Linked DNA regions of Oryzias latipes. The protein of the gene in region 5 interacts with the protein of the main gene of each other region in a biochemical or structural test. Links are inferred from orthologs where the notes say so. Each region holds a gene or a part of one and is shown on either strand. Other genes may lie near its edges.

The links. The genes of interacting proteins can lie anywhere in the genome.
Region 1: of the proteins of cdk1 (region 5) and ezh2, one has a biochemical effect on the other in vitro, tested with the Homo sapiens proteins (5 studies listed by BioGRID). The link is inferred for Oryzias latipes from reciprocal best matches to the Homo sapiens genes CDK1 and EZH2.
Region 2: of the proteins of cdk1 (region 5) and cdca5, one has a biochemical effect on the other in vitro, tested with the Homo sapiens proteins (2 studies listed by BioGRID). The link is inferred for Oryzias latipes from reciprocal best matches to the Homo sapiens genes CDK1 and CDCA5.
Region 3: of the proteins of cdk1 (region 5) and rpa2, one has a biochemical effect on the other in vitro, tested with the Homo sapiens proteins (2 studies listed by BioGRID). The link is inferred for Oryzias latipes from reciprocal best matches to the Homo sapiens genes CDK1 and RPA2.
Region 4: of the proteins of cdk1 (region 5) and histone H1.0-B, one has a biochemical effect on the other in vitro, tested with the Homo sapiens proteins (3 studies listed by BioGRID). The link is inferred for Oryzias latipes from reciprocal best matches to the Homo sapiens genes CDK1 and H1-0.

The regions. Positions count from the first base shown.
Region 1 is NC_019878.2:3,254,709-3,258,850, reverse strand, and holds the start of ezh2 (histone-lysine N-methyltransferase EZH2), read left to right. Parts: upstream 1-1,331; 5' UTR 1,332-1,730; intron 1,731-3,683; 5' UTR 3,684-3,708; coding exon 3,709-3,822; intron 3,823-3,988; coding exon 3,989-4,033; intron 4,034-4,142. Other genes in the region: protein CIP2A, read right to left, coding at 158-259. UniProt on the Homo sapiens protein: Polycomb group (PcG) protein. Catalytic subunit of the PRC2/EED-EZH2 complex, which methylates 'Lys-9' (H3K9me) and 'Lys-27' (H3K27me) of histone H3, leading to transcriptional repression of the affected target gene.
Region 2 is NC_019869.2:20,009,701-20,012,968, reverse strand, and holds cdca5 (sororin), read right to left. Parts: upstream 2,092-3,268; 5' UTR 1,973-2,091; coding exon 1,184-1,972; 3' UTR 512-1,183; downstream 1-511. Other genes in the region: psmb2 (proteasome subunit beta type-2), read left to right, coding at 2,217-2,307, 2,690-2,812, 2,899-2,969. UniProt on the Homo sapiens protein: Regulator of sister chromatid cohesion in mitosis stabilizing cohesin complex association with chromatin. May antagonize the action of WAPL which stimulates cohesin dissociation from chromatin.
Region 3 is NC_019874.2:22,815,084-22,819,179, forward strand, and holds the start of rpa2 (replication protein A 32 kDa subunit), read right to left. Parts: upstream 2,812-4,096; 5' UTR 2,689-2,811; coding exon 2,676-2,688; intron 2,444-2,675; coding exon 2,352-2,443; intron 2,118-2,351; coding exon 2,016-2,117; intron 1,115-2,015; coding exon 1,001-1,114; intron 786-1,000; coding exon 711-785; intron 254-710; coding exon 137-253; intron 1-136. Other genes in the region: smpdl3b (acid sphingomyelinase-like phosphodiesterase 3b), read left to right, coding at 3,743-3,803, 3,887-4,096. UniProt on the Homo sapiens protein: As part of the heterotrimeric replication protein A complex (RPA/RP-A), binds and stabilizes single-stranded DNA intermediates that form during DNA replication or upon DNA stress.
Region 4 is NC_019877.2:9,185,238-9,188,502, forward strand, and holds histone H1.0-B, read right to left. Parts: upstream 1,842-3,265; 5' UTR 1,600-1,841; coding exon 1,009-1,599; 3' UTR 512-1,008; downstream 1-511. UniProt on the Homo sapiens protein: Histones H1 are necessary for the condensation of nucleosome chains into higher-order structures. The histones H1.0 are found in cells that are in terminal stages of differentiation or that have low rates of cell division.
Region 5 is NC_019873.2:1,586,369-1,590,657, forward strand, and holds cdk1 (cyclin-dependent kinase 1), read left to right. Parts: upstream 1-1,476; 5' UTR 1,477-1,484; intron 1,485-1,524; exon of another isoform or gene 1,525-1,669; intron 1,670-1,833; 5' UTR 1,834-1,839; coding exon 1,840-1,876; intron 1,877-2,165; coding exon 2,166-2,322; intron 2,323-2,755; coding exon 2,756-2,879; intron 2,880-3,162; coding exon 3,163-3,333; intron 3,334-3,402; coding exon 3,403-3,566; intron 3,567-3,679; coding exon 3,680-3,821; intron 3,822-3,925; exon of another isoform or gene 3,926-4,066; coding exon 4,067-4,183; 3' UTR 4,184-4,279; downstream 4,280-4,289. UniProt on the Homo sapiens protein: Plays a key role in the control of the eukaryotic cell cycle by modulating the centrosome cycle as well as mitotic onset; promotes G2-M transition via association with multiple interphase cyclins.

The sequences.
Region 1 (4,142 bases), on a different chromosome or scaffold from region 5:
GTTTCTGACAAAAACACGAACCAAACATTTGTGCCAAGACAAAATAAAGGTGAGTTTTGCTGCAGAGTTCTGCGTTTGTTGTTCCTCACAGTGACAGAGTACAGATGACGTCTCACACGAGCAGTGACAAAGACTACGTCTGACCGCTGGTGCTCACCTCCACCTGTTTTTGAAGCTGTGCTGCTTGCTGCGCCGTCCTGCCGTCTCTGTACTGCTGGATAGCCAGCAGCAGAGACTTCAAACACGTCGTTGTGTCCATCTTGGGGGACTGTTATGACAAGTGCTAACGCCCGCTAGCAAGTTAGCTCAACGGCAAACACTAGTCGCGGGACAACCAATTTTCTTGCTGTGATTTGAAAAAAACAAACAAACAAATCCCGCTAACTTATTTTAGCACATTTATAGCTGTTCAGCCACTTCACTTTTCTACCATTCATTAATATCAACTAAAGCAAAGCGACGTCCTCCCGCTTCCAGGTTCGAACGAAGAAGGAATGAACCATGTCCAAAAAAGGTTGTTCGGGAAAGCTTTTTTTAACTGACTGGATGAACATCAAATTGCCTTCTAAATTAGTCTGTAGTATATTTTTTATTGAAAGTGGTGTTTTATATAAGGCCCATTAAATCGTCACCATTAAGTTTTCTATATAAACAAACAAACAAAAATTCTAAAAATCCCCCCTCCCCAATTTTATGGATATCACCCGAAGTGATGACGCAACAAGACAGGTAACCAATCACCGTCGTAGAGACATACACACATACAGACACACGCACGCACACACTCAAAAAGTAACAAAATATATTTTTTGTTAAATATGTAAAAAAAATATTTATCAAATGTTTTTTAACTTTTTTGTTACAAATTTTGCAAACTCACAAAGAGAATTCTGAAGTTAACCAATTAAGACATGAAGGAAAAAAAATTGAAAATGACTGAAAAAAATATTTTTCATACTTTTGGACATGAAAACAGCATAAACAATTTCATATTATTTTAGGATTGCTCCTAAATTAATTTAAATGTTAAATGATTAATCAATAATATTTATTATACAAATGTTTTATTGAAAACTTGTATTATAAATCTGTTGTGCTGTTTGTGCTAAACGTTTGTGCTTTATGTAACTGTTGTTTTATATTTTATTTCGTCAACAATTTGGAGAACAAAGAAAACCGGCGCACATGTCCCCACCGCAGGGCCCCAGCGATTCTCTGATTCTTATTGGTTATCAGTGTCGGGCCAGCTGACCTATCGTAAAAGGAGACACTGAAACGTCTAGGATAGACTTCTTTGATTGGTGCAAAGGGTTGGCGCCTCTTGAATCGATGCAAGCAAAGCGGGCGGAAAGAGAGACAGACAGGGAGCAGTTTGAACCGTGTTTGAGTGCAGGCGGAAATATAAAAATAACATCGTTGTTGTCAGGAGACAGATAATGTAACTGCTGGAAACTCAAATGAAAAAAAAAATATATAAAAACGGAATATTTAATTTAGATTCAAACGTAAAGTAAACGTTGTTTTTACCAAATTCGGTGACGTGAAGCCGGTTCTGGCGCTAAGTAAACCGCTCCGTCCCGCCTAGCTAACCGCTAGTTAGCCTACAAGCTAACATTACAGCTAGCAGTGACACGGAGCGGCTAATCTCCAACACAAAGGACGACTTTGCGTATCTCTACCGTTGCCATTCCGAATCTCTCCGTTGAATGAGGACTGAGCCTCCTGTACAGGTGAGGGCGGTTGTCACTGTGTCGAAATACAGCCCTTCCCTAGATCGGCCGAGTTTGTTCTCGGTTTGTGGATCTCCCCGTCTCTTTGTTAACCACCCGACTCGCTAGCTGAGCTCGCCAGGCTGTCGTGCCACATTTTGTATGGCTGTCAAAGAATAGACAGCTCCACTTACATCAGTTTTGTCATTTCTGATGAAGAAAAGTGCTGAAACATTTGCTCCCGGTGTTCTGAATTGATGAGTGTTCAAATGTAGGGAAACATGTCTATTTTTAACTTGAGTTACCGAGCTGTGCGGGCAGAGAAGCACGTTTTACGGAGCTAAACCGAAAGCCGGCTGATAAATGTGTTTCAAGAACCACTTGAGTCGTTTAGCAAGTTTCTTTTGTACAGAGGACAGGGTTACACACTTCAGCGACACAATGAAAATGTGGACAAACACCTGCTCGAAAGGATGCACGAACATTTCTATAATTTGACAACCAGTTTGTGTAATTCTTCCTGGTGGTGGCGATACTCATCTCATTTTATGAAGATGAGGATTGTCTTCAGGAAGTCATGAAAAGCTGTAGAGGATGTTGTGTGATCACCTAGTCTGTGCACCGACAATGAATAAAAAGAACACAGACCACACACACCTCACAACCTTTCAAGTTTAAAGTTCAGTTTTGTGAAATTGTTGATTAAACCTTTGATCATTTGAAACACCCACTCCATTGAAAAAGGTGTTTTTGGTGCTTTGAACATGTTCTTGTTGCATTTTCCTCACGAAGGAGGATAATTTAAACACAATTAACCATAAAACTGCACTTCTGAGTGTTTCTTCATTTAAATAGTTGTGTATCAGGTGCCGATGAGAAATGTCATTGGAAAAAGCTTGTAGGTGTGACATAGGTGCTACAGTAGGCAGGCCAAAGGCTTCCTGCTCCGCTCCATTCTGATGCATCCACCGTCAGATAGATAGATCCATGAACGTCTTTGTTTTCCTCGTCTGGGCTGACATCTGGATCTAAGCTGTACAGCTGGATAGCTCCAATGTTGCTTGCCATTTTTGTTGCACCGGTAATGTTAGTTTGGGGTTATGAGGGGCTGTAAGCTAACAGGCGACAGTAAACAGATGGATGATGGGAAGGCTTATTCCACACCAACAGTCCCGGCCACAACTTAAGAGCTGAATTTCTAAAAAAAAACTGCCGCTCTGCAGAAACTGTCCTAGAAAATGACTCGGGCATTTTGATTTTGGCAAAAAAAAATGAAAATAACCCATCATATTCATGACTAAAAGACCACTGGAAAGGCTTTGACAATCCATCAAAACAATAAAAGGCCTTTTTTTTTAAAGTGGGACTTAAAAATCTGCCTTTTTGTTTGGATAAAGTGTTGGTGAATACCAGGTTTATTGTTTTATTTCCAGGTTTTCGCCTTTTCCTTTTGATCAGAAAGTGCAAGTCTTTTTATTTCAGTTATGCCAACGTGTCATGGCGCTGCTGTTTGATGACAGGTGTCTGACACATCCGAGCTCTAGTGTGAGGTTTGAATCTGATTCACCGATCTGGCAGTAACTGCAGGGGCGGCAGATTGATCTCTATGCAAATGTTAAGACAAGATAAAGAGAAAACCATGAAAATCACCATAAACATTATTTTGACGAGTTAAAAACATTTAATTTACACCTCTGTCTTGTAGATCTTCCTTATTAAGAAACAGTAAGCAGAGAATAAACATTTAGAAAACTTGTAAATAAGCCTTTTATCTTCTTTGAGTGAAATCCTATGAGCTGGAATAGACTAGTTTTATTTTTTATTCTCAGGATTACAGTTGGGACGAAAAGAATCAGACAAAGCTGAAACTCGCAAGAATTTTAGCGAACGTCACCTCGCTATTTGACTTTGACCCTTCCTGCCTGAAAAGCTGATGGGATTAAATCTACACAGATTTTGTGTGTACTGTTGCAGGACTGTGTGTGGCTGCAGGCTGATCATGGGGACGGGGAAACGCTCAGACAAGGGTCCTGCCTGCTGGAAGAGGAGGGTAAAGTCTGAATACATGAGGCTTCGGCAGATGAAACGCTTTAGACGGGCAGACGAGGTCAAGGTTTGTACTCAAAGGTCTTCTTCATTTTGAAGCGGTCTTTATATTCATGTTAACACTGTTTCACGTTGATTATTTTTCTTCATTTTGTTGAAAAAATCTGTTATTCAAAAGTCCTGCAATAAAACTTTCGAGTTGAACAGTAATTAAAAATAATATTACTATCCAGATGGAGGGCGTTGGTGATCAGCATCTGACCTGCAGCTGGAAAATTGTAATGTTTTATTTAAATTATTTATATTTTGAATCATTGTGTGCGTTTCTAGATGAGTTTCAGACGCCTCAGTAGAGACGGCAAACAATTCTGTCTTATTGAATGATGT
Region 2 (3,268 bases), on a different chromosome or scaffold from region 5:
ATTTGATGCATTTGGTTTTATTTTTTCGCTTGAAATAAAAGTCCTGATTCTAGACTTTTGCTGCTATAAGCAAAACTGTATAATTTAGTTGGATATTATGCAAAAAAACGATTTTGATTGGTTATAGGGTTACAGTTGCTTTTGACCTTTCACCCTCAGTTTTTTTAATTGAAAGGATTCAAAGTTTTTTTTTTGTCATATGTACAGTTAGAAAACGGGTTTTCATGCTCGCTCTGATTGCCATAAGGTTAAATTAAACATAGAGTAGGATATTTACAGTACTGATCAATTTCAGAGCTTCACAAAAACAGTTTGAGACAGGATCTGATGAAAGGCCATTCAAGGCTTTTCAGTTGAATTCTTTAGCTATGTTATAGTTTATTTGTTCATATTTCCTGTGTCATCTCCTTCTGCAGCTAGTTGATATTTCACTGCAAAGTTCTAAAAAATTGTTGTTTAATATAATTTAAAACTCTTTAACTGTACAAATAAGGGTAAACAAAATAAAGTGTATGTTTAAAAAAAGATGTTTGCTTTTATTCAAATACACAGAACAGAAGAAATGTATTTAAAAGACACATATAAGATATAAACAACCTTAAATGGATTTCTCTTAAACTAGAAAGAAAAAACAAAATTAAAGAGGAAAAAGTGCTGGTTACAGATGCCATGTACTTTATTTTTCTCTAAAAACATTTGGGAAAGTTAAAAAAAAAAGAGAATCCAAACTGCAGAATAAAAGCGTCTCCAGTCAAAACCTTTAGGATAAATGTTTCTAAAGTCCAATCGTCAGAATAAAAGCTTTTTATCTTCAAACTTCAAAGTAAGAGCTGTTCAGCACCAATTTTACGACTCAAAGCTTTTTATCTCCAGACTTTTGCATAAAAGCTTTCAAGCTTCATTTCAGAATAAAAGCCTTTTAGCTCCAAACGTAATTCTTGGGGAAATGCTCCTCAGTAAACGGTTTTAGCACTTAAATTCTGCCAAAGGATAAAGTCCGGTTTAAATAAACCAAAAAAACTGAAGTTACAAACGACTAGCAAATGTGATACTGAAAATGTATTTAAAAACTATTTCACACCAAGTGAAGGAATAAAAATATCTGGACATTTTTAACATTTTCTTGAATTATTTTTATCACAGTCCTTGAGAAGCTTCCCCTGGGCTTGAGTAGAGCCAGTTTCTACTCCACCACCAGCTCAAACTCCTCCGCCTCCTGGAACTCCGCGTTCATCTGGGCGACCAGAACGTCCAGCTCCACGCCGTCGATCGGCGCCACCTTCTTCCGCCTCCTCTTCCTCTCCTTCACCACAGCCACTCCAGGGATGTTCGGGTCCGGTTCGGCCGCACCGCCGGCGTCGGTATCGAGCAGAGACGTGAAAGAGTTCAGGGCAGAAATGGAGGAAAGCTCCAGAGCGCTCCTGGACTGCCCTGCCGCCCGGTTCACCTCCGGTGTCTGCAGATGCTGGAAGCCGAACAAAGTATCGCGAGAGTCCGGGCTGTGGAGGGACTTGTCGCTCAGTCTGCTGTAGGAGCGGCGCACCTTTCGCGCCCATTCTGCGTCCTCCGGGGTCGCTGGCGGCTTTTCTGCGGGGTTTGAGGTCGGCGGGGAGGAAGGCAAGATCGGGGACGGCATCGAGGCCTGTTTCTTCTTCTTAGCCGAAGAGATGGCGGAGGCCCTGCGGTCTGGGACCAAGTCAGGAGTGGACACCTCTTTTTTCTGCCCTAGTCTGTTGCTCGTTCGCCGTGGTGTGTTCTCCTTGTCCTGCTCCGCGGAGGTAACGGTTTTTCTCGGAGCTATTTTCCTTAGAGTGATGGACCGTTTCACCGGGACGGCCTCCAGCGCGGCCATGTTTGTGTCAATCTTCCCCGGCGGTTGCAGGGTAGAACTTAGCCGCGGCGAACGCCTCCGCGGCGGGTCTATGTGTCGGTTGGACTCCACCATCACGCTGTGAGTCTCCCCTTCCTTCATGGTCAACACAGCTTGGCTGTAACCTCAAAATTCCCCCGATGACGGACGCCCTCCGCTCGGTGACACACAACAAAAACACTCCCGCGTTTCAAATCGCCCGCCCAAGTCGCGCGGTTTGACGTCACCAGTATGCGACAGGCAGCTAGCTGAACTTTTGCTGTGTAATATTCTGAGCAGACCCGGCTGTCCGCGGCTGCTTCCTCGAATTATTCTTACATTTTTTTGTTTATTCGCGTTTTTCACGATGGAATATTTAATCGGAATCCAGGGACCAGATTTTGTTCTCGTCGCCGCCGATAATGTGGCCGCCAGCAGCATAATCCAAATGAAACACGGTAAAGTAGCTCGTCGTTAGCTGTAGCATTAGCCGCTCCGCCGATTTTTATTTTAGATTTAGGGGGGTAAAGTTCAAAGCGTTTTGAGATTTTATCTGGTTAAATCAAGCTTTTATTTCCGAATTTACAGTTAATTTGTTGTTGGTTTCTTATACTTGGCCACACTATATCAAATAATCGAACCAATGAAACTAATCTGCGTTCGATTTAAATTATTTTTGCGGATATTTGCTTAAAAATCGGTGCAGTTTTGCTCCCGATTTGAGTTTTTGGTGTTTTTCTGTATAATTGGTTTTGTTCTAAAATTAGCAGATTATGCAGCCTCATGCAGGCTAACTGTGAAAGTGAAAGTTCTAAGGTGTTTTTTTTTTTGATCCACCAGATTATGATAAAATGTTCAAACTGAGCGAGAAGATCCTGCTGTTGTGCGTGGGAGAAGCAGGAGACACGGTGCAGTTTGCTGAGTACATCCAGAAGAATGTCCAGCTCTACAAAATGAGGAACGGTAGGATGGAAACTACACAGAGCAGCTGTCTGTGGTTCATCAGGGGATCAGAACAAGTCATTGATGAAACTTTTTCTCCCCTAAAGGTTACGAACTGAGTCCATCTGCAGCAGCAAACTTCACACGGAAGAACTTGGCAGACTACCTACGGAGCAGGGTAACCATGCATGAGAGCAAAATACACTTTTAGCATTTAAAGATAAACATTTCCTGAAACTGAACACTAGAGAAACATTTTGAATTTTGTACTCGTTTTCAGGGGTGTTGCTTGAATTAACTTTGTTAGGGAAACGTATTAGGGCCCCATGGACGGATGTCTTACCCAATAGCATCTCTAACACTCACAAAAAGATGTGTTCTTACTAAAATTAAAAAAAAAAAAAAATCAATTTGAAAGCATGTAATTCCAAAAATGATTGTAAAAATTAACAAAAAGAAACATGTAGGGGTTTTATT
Region 3 (4,096 bases), on a different chromosome or scaffold from region 5:
GTCGATTTTCTCTTTACTGGATTCAACGAGAAAACCTCGAAACTCTCTGGGTCGCACGCATCAACATTCAGTTCCTCATTCTCAGAGGTTTTCACTTGAGATGAGAACTGCAGAAGTAAAAGTTTCAATTACTTACGGTGTTCTGCGGTTTGCCGAGCGCCATGTGTGCTTGGACAACTTCCAGCATGTGTGAGGTGATTTCATTCATGTCCTCCAGGGGTCTGATACAGAACGCCACCATAGACCTGTGGTTCTGACACAGGAAGGCAAACACACATTTTCTGCTAAATTCAAAAATGAGTAACTGAAACAGCAGCAATGAACAATCACAAATGACCTTAAGACAGGTTATAGGTGTTTAAAAAAGCAAATAAAGCTCTTTAACAAGTTTGGAGGCTATAGGTGTTAAACTAAGGAAATGAGGCTCTTTAAAAAAAGTTTGCAGCTGCTGTAAGAACCTACACTTAGCTCAGGAAAGAGGTGACAAAAGCCTAAACCTTCATTTTTTGGGACGAAAGCACCTTTTAGCTAAATAAAGAACTGGCAAATCAGTGACAACCATTTTTTAAGTTAATTCATGCAATAACTGATAAAAGACAAAAGTTTCCAATTTGTGTGGCCCTAAAGCGTGGCCCTTTGTTTACAGTGTTAGGGCCGCATGAAGAAAATAAGATAAAAATAAAAGTTGGCAGGCCCTGTAATACACTTACTTGAAAAGAGCGTAGGTTTCCAGAGACTTTGACATATGTTCCTGGAGGCAAAACAGTGCTGTCCACACTCGGATCCTACAAAATAAAACCCAATCAGAGAAATTATTTTCTAGAAACCGGAAGTTAACTGAAATAAATGTTAAAATATATATTTTAATGAAACCAGCAATGACAGCATCAACAATGATAATAAAGATGTAGATTTGATCAAATGTTGTTTATAAACAACAATGGTCTGCAGACTGTGTCTCTTATGAATCATATTTAGCAAGGGGTTGTCACCAACTGACCTCTGTATCCACCCACTGCTTCACATCCATAGGAGCACCTGTCATGTCATCAACCCTGTACTGGATGTAGGTCATGGATTTGTCCGTGCTTCTGATGATGCCAACAATGGTGACCTATGACAGAGATGTGTAAAAAGGCAATAAAAACAATATGAAAGTACATTTTTGTTGTTTTTTGTTTGTTTGTTGCCAAGTGTTATGCATTAGTAAACACTAAATTTAAGACAGAAACCTGTCTTGATTTTTCAAAATAAAGGATCTGGAGTTGGTCTCTCTTGTTCCGAACAGATATTTTACTGCTGCTTCCAAGACTTAAGTTTGGATCAATTATTTAAACACCAGTCGAAAGGAGAAGTTCTACATGTGTGTAGCAGAATACGTTGAAGTTTTACAATCGTGGTTATAAAATATTGTTAAATATTAATTTAAAAAAATTAATTAATAAAAAAAAAAAACATTCTTTAACCCTATGATGCCTGACTTTACTTCTAGCTATGAAATAAATCATTCATGTTTTTGCTTTCATGTAGATGCTAAGTTAAGGTAATTTAAGATGGAAGTACTTTGATGCATATTTGCTCAATAAATGTCAAACAGCTTGCCAAACAAAAGATTACTTGTTCCAGATTTTCTATTTTATTTTATCATTATTATTGTGTTTTTTGTAAAGATCTGCCACATAGCAAAGAAAGGTAAAAGTCCATAACTTACTGATGCTTTTGTTTCCAACAAAAAGCTTACAAATATATTAGGAAAAAAGCTAAATCTATTATTTCCCAATTGATAAGGCATTATTTTTGGACTCATTGATTTTTTTTTTAGCTCCAATTAACTAATTATTACCGTAATTATTGAGACTTTGTTTTACTGTGACTTGGTCCCCTTCCCTTCCATCGTTATTAAATATATACATAGGTCTGTGTTTTTTTTATCTTTTTAAAGAGAGAGAGTAAAATCAAAATTATATGATATCTAATACTTTACAGTAGACATACTCTTTTGCATTTTAGGTTACCTGGTTAACCTCCACTTCTCCCACTTTAAAGGCTTCATCAGCCTGAGATGCAGACATCAACTGAGACACTGTGCAGGGTATAATTTGAGTGGAACGGGTCCTCTGGTGATGAACAAACAGACAGAAGGATTTCAGTTTTTACTAGCGTTACCGTTATGTGCTTAAAACAACACTCAAGCATACAAGACAAGTGCAATAATAATATAAAAACGGTTTATGTTAGGTCAAAGGGACAATGTGGAATTAAAGATGTTCAAGCTTTAATATGGATCACTTTTAACTACCGGTGTAAGTTTTGAAAGGCACCATCACTCTGTCGGCATTGTCATTTCTCACCCCTTTCTTCTCTCCTTGGGACAAGCCAGGCGATGCAAAGCCTCCAGGAGACTGCGTGTAACCCCCAACCATTCCCGACTCACTGTAGCCTCCTAAAGTTTCAACACAGAAATTGAAAGCAAGTGAAGCAAACTCCCTTTTCGGCATATTTACAATGTTAATGGAAGACACATTTGACAACAAACTATTACACTTGTAAGAAATAAACAAAGAAGCCACTTGACTTGAGTGTTAAGTAAAGCTAACGTTAGCTGTACCAAACAACACAAACATGCCAGTGTGAACGATGTAAAGGCAAACAAACAACTTGGATACGACATTTACCTTGATTCCACATGCTGACACTTCGTAAGTAATTCTTAAAATGCAAAGATAATTTAGTGACGGGGTGAAATCGAGCAACCAACTTGCTTAACGACCTGATTCCCGCGCGCCAAACTCAATGTAAGACGCATGCGCGTGGGATAATTCCCGCGAAACGTTTCATCGCGAGAGGTATATAGATAATGTACTGGCCCTGATTTTTGACTGTCAGGCATTTGCCACGGTTTTGGAGTAAACATTCCAATTAATGGGGAATTTCCACCGTTTTTTTCTTAAACTCTAACATTGTTTTTATTTCATAATGATTGTATTATTTTAAAAGATCTAATAATCCTTGTTTACTAAGAAAATCTACACCTGATAGAAATATTTCGGGAAATAACAAGCAAATTATGACGCTATCGCAAAGAGGTGGAACATGATGATCTTTGTTCCTTTCAATTTAAAAAAAAAGGTTTTCTAGTTGTAATGAGCACTGGTGCATGCGTAAATACTATAACTTATCAAAATCTCAAAAATTACAAATATAAAAAAATAAAACGTGAAAGGTATTTTGTGTGTGATCGTATGGTCTAAAATTTGAATTGCTTTTTAAGGTAGCCTTTTGCTTTTGTGTGTCTTTAGTTTAAATAACAACAGTAAAGGTGATAGGATTGTGTAATATTTTTCTCAGCCTCCAAATCCGCAGCTCAATAAACATAGGCTAATCAGTAACACCCTGTATTAGTATGAACTTCTAAACTTTTATTTAATTTGAAGAAAAACAATTTTCTGTTGAAAGCTTTAGTTCTGACTTGCCATGGAGAATCAAATGATAAAAGTGTCATTTTGTAGTTTCTGATGGACAAAGAGAGCTATTTTGTAATGATTTAATCTGTCAAAAGTGCTTCTTATCTTAAGCGTTCTCGTAAAAACTAATAATATTGTGTCATAAAACAAGGTTTAGTTATTATGATCCACACAAGCATGTCAGTGCCTTGGTAAGAAGGTTGTGTTGGCCCGCTCTGCCCTTCCTTTATAGACCCTTGCCTGTCTTTTCCAGCACAGCTGTTCTCAGACACTCAAACATGACAGCAACAAGCTTTTTCTTATCTTGTCTGCTTTTCAAAGGAGCTCTTGCTCTCACTGGTAAGTAGAGCCTTGTGTAACCAGCGTGTTATAGATGATTTTGTGACATTTACTTACTTCGCCTATGTGCTGATCTTTTCCAGGAAGCTTTTGGCATATCACAGATTTGCACTGGGACCCAACTTATGAAGTGACAGATCAACCGGAGCTGGTGTGCGCCTCTAGCGGCAAACGGCCTGCTTTGAGCGCCGGTAGATTTGGAGACTATGTTTGTGACTCACCATGGCACCTGATCAATTCCTCTGTGTATGCCATGAAGAGCATTCTTCCAGACCCAGACTTCATCATCTGGA
Region 4 (3,265 bases), on a different chromosome or scaffold from region 5:
GCCTCATGTTTGTGTAAAAAGAAATTCTCTGTGAGACCTTTTAAAAACTTTTCTCAATGAAAGTGACCAGATGCTTAATAAAAGACTACACCAGAGCAAAATAAAATGAATTCTATGATTTACATGTTTGTGACTAAACAGTTAATTTGAAACATATGTCTAGTATTTGATGTTAAAGGCAGAGAAATCTTTTTATTGGTAATTAATCTGTGATCACATTTATCCTGAATATTTGTTTAAAAATGTATTAGTGGCATCTAAAACTGCAAGAATCCTGTTTGGATGAGCTTAACCATTCCTTATTTAATAGGGCTGGTTCATATGTACCCTAAATAATAGGAATGTTTGTGTTTTTACTATGTTACTCCACATTAACGACGATCTTGCTGTTGCTCCAACTTACCACAAGATGGCAGTGTTCGCCGGTTGAGGAGGGCAGACCCATGGGTGTGTCGAAAACGACACTAAAGTCAACAAAATCTTTTGGTGGCACGTGAACGCATCACTTTAGTTGAATGTTTGAAGAGTCACTTTTATTTTCCCTTTGTATATACAGTGTTTTTAAGTGCACAATAAGTTAAAGCACTTTCAAAATGTGACAAAGGTTTATTGGATGCGTTTATGAACAGTCTGTCGCTAAACACAATATGATTCTTCAAGACAAATATAACTGGGTAAAATAAGAGCTGTGGTGCCTTCATGGAACTCATCTTCACCTTGTCACCGTTAAAACATTAAGTTTTTTTGTTAAAGTATACTGACAACAGTCATTACCTCAGCTGTACAAACGCGTGATTTCAGCAAGACCCCCCGTGGAAATAGTTTAAGGATCAGGCGGAAATGGACGATGTTCAAATAAAAAATAGAAATGCTCACAATTTCTACAGCTTCTGAATGCTATAATAAAAACAGGTTAAAAACACCTTGTGTCTGAATGAAACCTTACAAAAATAAGACATTTACGAAAACATTTCCTTAAATATTTACATCGCCGGCTGTATTGTCCGTCTACTTCTTTTTGGACGTCTTTGCTGCCTTCTTGGGTGTCTTTGCCTTGGGTTTGGCTGCTTTCTTCGCTGGCTTTGCCTTGGCTTTGGCTGCCTTGGGCTTCTTCGCCGGAGCTTTCTTCGCTTTCACCGGAGACGCCTTCTTGGCAACCTTTTTGACTTTCTTCGCAGGTGCCTTCTTGGGCTTCTCCGGGGTCTTGGACACCTTCTTGGGCTTGGCCGCCTTCTTGGCCGCCTTGGGTTTTGCTACTTTCTTGGGTTTGGCGGGCGCAGCTGCCTTGCTGCTGGACTTTTTGGCGTCCTCCGGTTTGGTCAGCCGGAAGGAGCCGGACGCTCCGATACCTTTGGTGTGGCGCAGCATCCCAGAAGCCACCAGCCGTTTTAGGGCCATTTTGATCTGGACGTCGGCGTTGTCGCCCACTTTGTAGTTCTTCCTCACGTACTTCTGGATGGACTGGCGGGACGCTCCGCTCCGGCTCGCGTCGTGGACAATAGCCGCTTTGATCATGTCCGAGTATTTGGGATGAGAAGCGGGCTTTTTAGCCTTGGCTGTCTTTTTGGCTTTAGATGGAGCACTTGACGTCTCCGCCATTGTGTTTATCCTTTAAGTTAAATCACACAAAAAAAGTCCACAAGGTGGGATTTAACCCGGTTGGAAAAGAGCGACAAAAATATTTCAAATAAAAAAAAATGAAATTTTCGGTTAAAACAAAGTTGTGGAAAGTGCCAGGCGTTCAATTATTTTAGGTTTAGGTAGCAAAAAATAGATATAGTTGTAGAGAGGCACACCCCTTCAGCCCGTTTCTCTAAAGTCTCTTGTTCCACCGGCGCTCCAGAGAGAATATGAAGCCTCGCTGCGGACGTGATTGAGAACACCAACTGCCAGCAGCTGATCTAGCGGACTCCATGGAACTGGCGCAGTCTTGTTTGTGTTTCTTCATCCTCCAACTCCCGTCAAATGTACAAACCCCGGAGGAGTTCTGATCCACAGAACCGCACGGGCACGCGGCGGAGACATTGGGCTTCACGCGCACTAACTTGTTTCCCCGCACTAGAGCCGCAGAACAACTTTTATTCCGGGAAAACCAGCCCCAAGTAGCGCGTGCTGCCGACAATTTTGCCTGATTCGCGTCAAATTGACCCAAACGGACGGAACCTGAGGGGGGGATGTTCAATGCACATGGAAATTGAATCTTTATTCCCACTGATGCGCGCGGTTTGGTCCGCGTGAGAGTCCGTTTTTCCTTTTAATACAGCGTTACATTTTCCCAACTAACACAGTCCGGCCATTGACTTCGAGTGACGTGGTCGAGATTATTTACTGTTAAACCTCCTATAAATTAAATGTCACAACATGCAAGTCGCAGGTGACTGTTGGGGCTGTCACGCGGGTTAGTTTAGGAGGTAAAACGCGGGTTGGGTTTTCTGGGTTTGCTTATTTTAGTGCCGAATTGCTTATAACTATCACTATGGCAGTCGCCTCTCGAGCTCCATTGTTGTCAGGAAAGTTGCCAACACCTCCAGAGCTGAAGGAATCTGATGACGGGTCGTTAAATTGATCACATTGTTCTGAATTGGGGTCAAAGATAAGTGAAGGGTCTGCTTTGAGTCCAGCCTCGGTGGGGTCTGCAGCCGAACGCACGCGCTGTTATTCTAAGGAGCAGAGGTGGCTTTCTTTTGTTCAGGACCTGGCGCATCAGATCCCAGTCAACAGCTGGCGTTTGCGTATTCCTAATAAGAAAACATTTAGCTTTTCCTACATTAATGCAAGAAAATATGCCCCCAAAACACTAACTTTATGTAGATTGTATTAGATTATTTCTTATTTTTGTGTCTGCTCTGTTGTCCCTCCCTGCAACGCCATTTTGATTCTAAGGAGAAAGTCAGGGCAGTTGGAGTTAGTAGCTTTCTCCTCTTCTCCATCGTGGTCATCCGAGTTAATTGGCATTATTTAGGTTGATTAACCCAATTGAATGCTTTAACACCCCATCAGTGCCACGTAGGGAGGGAGGGGGGTGTTGGAGGACACTTCTCAGCTGTAAAGTATTCAGAGAAATGAATCCACGTTCATTCTCAAAGCAGTTGCAGATTGCAGCTACAGATTAATGCCAAAGTTGTTGCACGTGCGAAGGTAAACATGCTTTTCTCTCAAAGTGAGCGCGCTTTGCTTTGTTGGCGCGTGATGACTGGGTGGCAGAGAGAGTGAGGATGAAAGGATGAGTTAGTGAACGAGTGAGGAGGAGGAGGAAGGCTTTTTG
Region 5 (4,289 bases):
ACAATATTTGACATATGAAACATCTACATAGCAATATCTAATGTTGTTTTCATTGTATATATGTAATTGACTGCAATGAAAAACGGTAACGCTCAAACAAAAACGTATGGGGAAATGACAAAAAATCGAGTCTAGGTCTCAAAATCCTCGTACGAGGTAAATGTAATTCTCTACGAATTAATGCAGCCTCCTCGTCTATTGGGTCCTCCAAAAAAGGACAAGCCATTCTTGTCACTTGTCTCTGTGTGACGGACATTTGGGCAATGAAGGTTAAAGCGAAAAATATCGCTTCGTCTTTAAAAAGGGGAGGGGACCGGCAGAAACCTTGAGTTTAGAGAATAAAACCTGCTCCCCACCAGGTTAGGTTCACAGCGTAAGTAACCATGGACACTGACTCAGAGTATAAGTTACCTCTCTTTCAGAAACGGGTTTGACTTACTCTGCTTTCTCTGGTTTAACAAACCTCCCATTCTGAAACAGAAAACCCAGGGTTTCCCTGATTTCAGGGTTAACGCACTCAGAGTTTACACTTAACCTCCTTTCTGAAACAGGCCCCAGGTGGCACATTATCTATAATGTTTTCTTTAACCTATTGTGTCCTTTCTAATAGTTTTAGAAAGAAAACTCAATGTTATTTATTTAAAAAATAAACACATTTTCTTGCTAAGTTATAAGAATAAAATCATTTTAAAAAATTGAGAGTTTTTGAGAAAAAGCAAAGTCCAGAGTATGGCCAGAAGAGCAGCTGGATGACTACATTGGCTGCATGTAGGCCTGGTGCATGAGAAACCCGGGTTTGATTCCCATGGGGTGCAATGAGCTTCATCCAGTGTTAGGCTCCTGCCTAACTATGTAGCCAGAAAGTGTCGGTCCCGGCCTAAAGTAAATACAGGATTGTGTCAGGAAGGCCATTCAGTGTACATATCTCTGCCAAACCGACTGCAGATCAGTGAAAGCTGAAGGGATATGGTGAACAGCAACAACAGAGGATGAAGACGAGTGTAACAACGAGAGACAGCTTTCCAGGGAAACGATTAAGACTAAAACGACGGTGAAGATAAAAATGTTTAATACAAAACAAAAAGGAAGTAAAATTCTTTAAAAACTATTAAAAGCGGAAAAAATTAAAATTTAAAAAGAAAGGTTTTAAAAGGAAAAAAAGAAAGATTGAAATATGGAAGTCAACAAAGGGACGGTTTCAGAAACGAAAAAAGCTGCAAGCACTAAATCTAAAAACCAACGAACGAGAAAGGAAAAAAACTTTAGTGGGGAGACAGGAAGACTGATCCAGAATGTGTTTTCGTTCAGGCACGCAGACAGGAGACCTGTATGACGTCAGCGCGTCCAGCTACGTTCCCGCTCGTTGATTAGCTGTTTTGAACAGCGTCGAGCGCGCTGATTGGTGCGTTTTGAAGCCGAGTCCTGCGCTCAATTTTAAAGAGTGTCAGCTTTGTATCCGCAGCGTGAGCAGCGACAGCACGGAGGTAAGAAGCGGCAACCGTTAACGGCTTCAACCGGTAGATCACGACATGAAATGGTACCGCTTTGATATGAGGAGAGGCGCGTTGGCGGACGGACACGCGCCTTCCGGTAACGGCTCGGTTCGGTTTTCCCCCAACCTGGTTTTCAGATTTGGAGAGGCCTCAGCTGGCCGGTGAAAGTCGGTGGGGTTGGTTCGATTCCTACTGTTTTTATTCTGTCTCTGTAACGTCGAGCTGCTCGTTTTACGGTTTTCAGGCCTGAACGTTCAGCGGTTCTCAACGGAGGATCTGACCGTTTGGAGTCTGAACATCTGCAGAAGTCCGAGCTGAGAGGATTTGTCTTCTCTTTCAGGGACAGATGGAGGACTACGTGAAAATAGAGAAAATCGGAGAAGGTTGGTGGAGTAAAAATGTTTTTGTTTTTCTAAAATGTTGTCCAGATTTTTTTGGGGGGTGAAACCCACCAAAGAGGCCCACCTGGATGCTGAACTTGGAAGTCCTTGAAAGTTCCTCCACCCGTATATGGAGATGTCCCAGGATGACGTCTCAAGCTTTGCTTTGGTTCAGATCCTGGCTCTTCATTCTGATCATGGTCCCCTGCACCACAATCTGAGTGATGGGGTGACTGCAGTGGTTCTGGGACGTCTGAGTCCTCATCCCCTGACTCTGCTCTGGTGTCTGCAGGGACATACGGGGTGGTGTACAAAGGCCGGCACAAGTCCACGGGACAGGTGGTGGCCATGAAGAAGATCCGCCTGGAGAGTGAGGAGGAGGGAGTTCCCAGCACCGCTGTCAGGGAGGTGTCGCTGCTTCAGGAGCTGAAGCACCCCAACGTCGTCCGGTATGCTGCACGTGTGCGCTGAACAGGTTCCTGACATTAATGTCCATGCGCTGCAGGTAAAATGCAGTGAGGTGATGTCCGGGTCAAAGGTGCTGGGTTTTAGTCCCTCTTGTCTCATCTGAACGTTTGGGGATAATCCAGATGTTTGTTCTTGTTCAGCACTTCTTTCTCCTTGAACTCTCCTGTGGATCCATGATTGTTCAGAAGTCCCTTTCTGACTGTTGGATCATGAACTCTGACCTGAACACGTGCACACGTGTAATGGGAGGCCTCCACTTGCTTCCATGTTCTTTCCAGAGGGGTCCTGCTTGGGTTTTTAACTCTTTAGTCCTTCTGTAGGGATGTTCAGAGTAGCGTTAATGCCGAATCCCTCAACTCCCTCCGCTGATCTTGGAGGTGCAATAATGGTTCCACCTTTGTGTTCACCTGAAAGGCTCTTGGATGTCCTGATGCAGGAATCTCGCCTCTACCTGATCTTTGAGTTCCTGTCCATGGACCTGAAGAAGTACCTGGATAGCATCCCGTCAGGACAGTACATGGACCCCATGCTGGTCAAGGTAAAACACTCAGCGCTTCGTTTTTAGATTTCCTACTCTTTGTTGTGACAAACGCTTTCTATTAAGCTGAACATCCCGGTTTCAGCTGGGGGAGGGGGGTCTCTGAATGATAACACACCAGGTTCCTCACTAACCACGGACTGCAGCTCCAAACATCACAGATCTTCATCAGTTCTTCTGAGGCAGCCATGATGCTTTGTGCTGCTTGTCTGTGAGGATGTTCTGGTGTGGAACTAGCAGTCTACCACTTTGAGCCTGTTCCCTTTTCTGCCCCCCCCTACAGAGCTACCTCTATCAGATCCTTGAGGGCATTTACTTCTGTCACCGAAGGCGGGTCCTCCACCGCGACCTGAAGCCCCAGAACCTTCTGATTGATAACAAGGGCGTCATCAAACTGGCAGACTTTGGCTTGGCCCGGGCCTTCGGTGTTCCCGTCCGGGTCTACACCCACGAGGTGGGAACCGCTCCGCTGCAGAACCCAACGCTGAGGTCTGCTCAGCTGATCCAAGCTTCTCGTTCTCAGGTTGTGACTCTGTGGTATCGAGCTCCTGAGGTCCTTCTGGGTTCCCCCCGATATTCAACCCCAGTGGACGTGTGGAGCACGGGTACCATCTTTGCTGAACTCGCCACCAAGAAGCCCCTGTTCCACGGAGACTCCGAGATCGACCAGCTCTTCAGGATCTTTAGGTACCGTGTGGGAGAACTATTCAGCTTCTTTCAGCGCACACACACACACACACTGATTCTACAAGGAGAAATCAGGTCTTGAAGAGTAAAGGGGCTCTATTGTCCGTCTGCAGGACTCTGGGGACCCCCAACAATGACGTTTGGCCGGATGTGGAGAGCCTGCCTGACTACAAAAACACTTTCCCCAAATGGAAGGAGGGCAGCCTGTCCTCCATGGTGAAGAACCTGGACAAGAACGGCCTGGACCTGCTGGCGGTGAGAAGTTCTTCAGATTATGAATAAAGTAGATCAAGTGGACATTTCTCATGGGGTGGGGTCAGCTGCAATCTCTTCGGGGGCTCCAAAGAAAAGCACCAAACTAAGGAACATTTCAGTCTTTTTATTCTTTAATGATCTCAGAACACCCTCCACCACCACCGGGGGTCAGCAGAACCCTTCAAAACCAGACCTTTACTTTTGAACATCCAGTTCCTCCTCAGTAACCCTCCTTGTGTTTTTAGAAAATGTTGATCTACAATCCTCCCAAGAGGATCTCTGCACGTGAGGCCATGACCCACCCATACTTTGATGACCTGGACAAGTCCACGCTGCCCGCCGCCTGCATCAACGGCGTCTGAAGGCCTGAGCCCCCCCGTTCTTCTGTAAATACTTGTGTGTTTGTGTTGGAAATATTTTCCAGAAAAATGTGTGAATAAAGGTTTTCATCAAGTGTTGGTGGGTGTG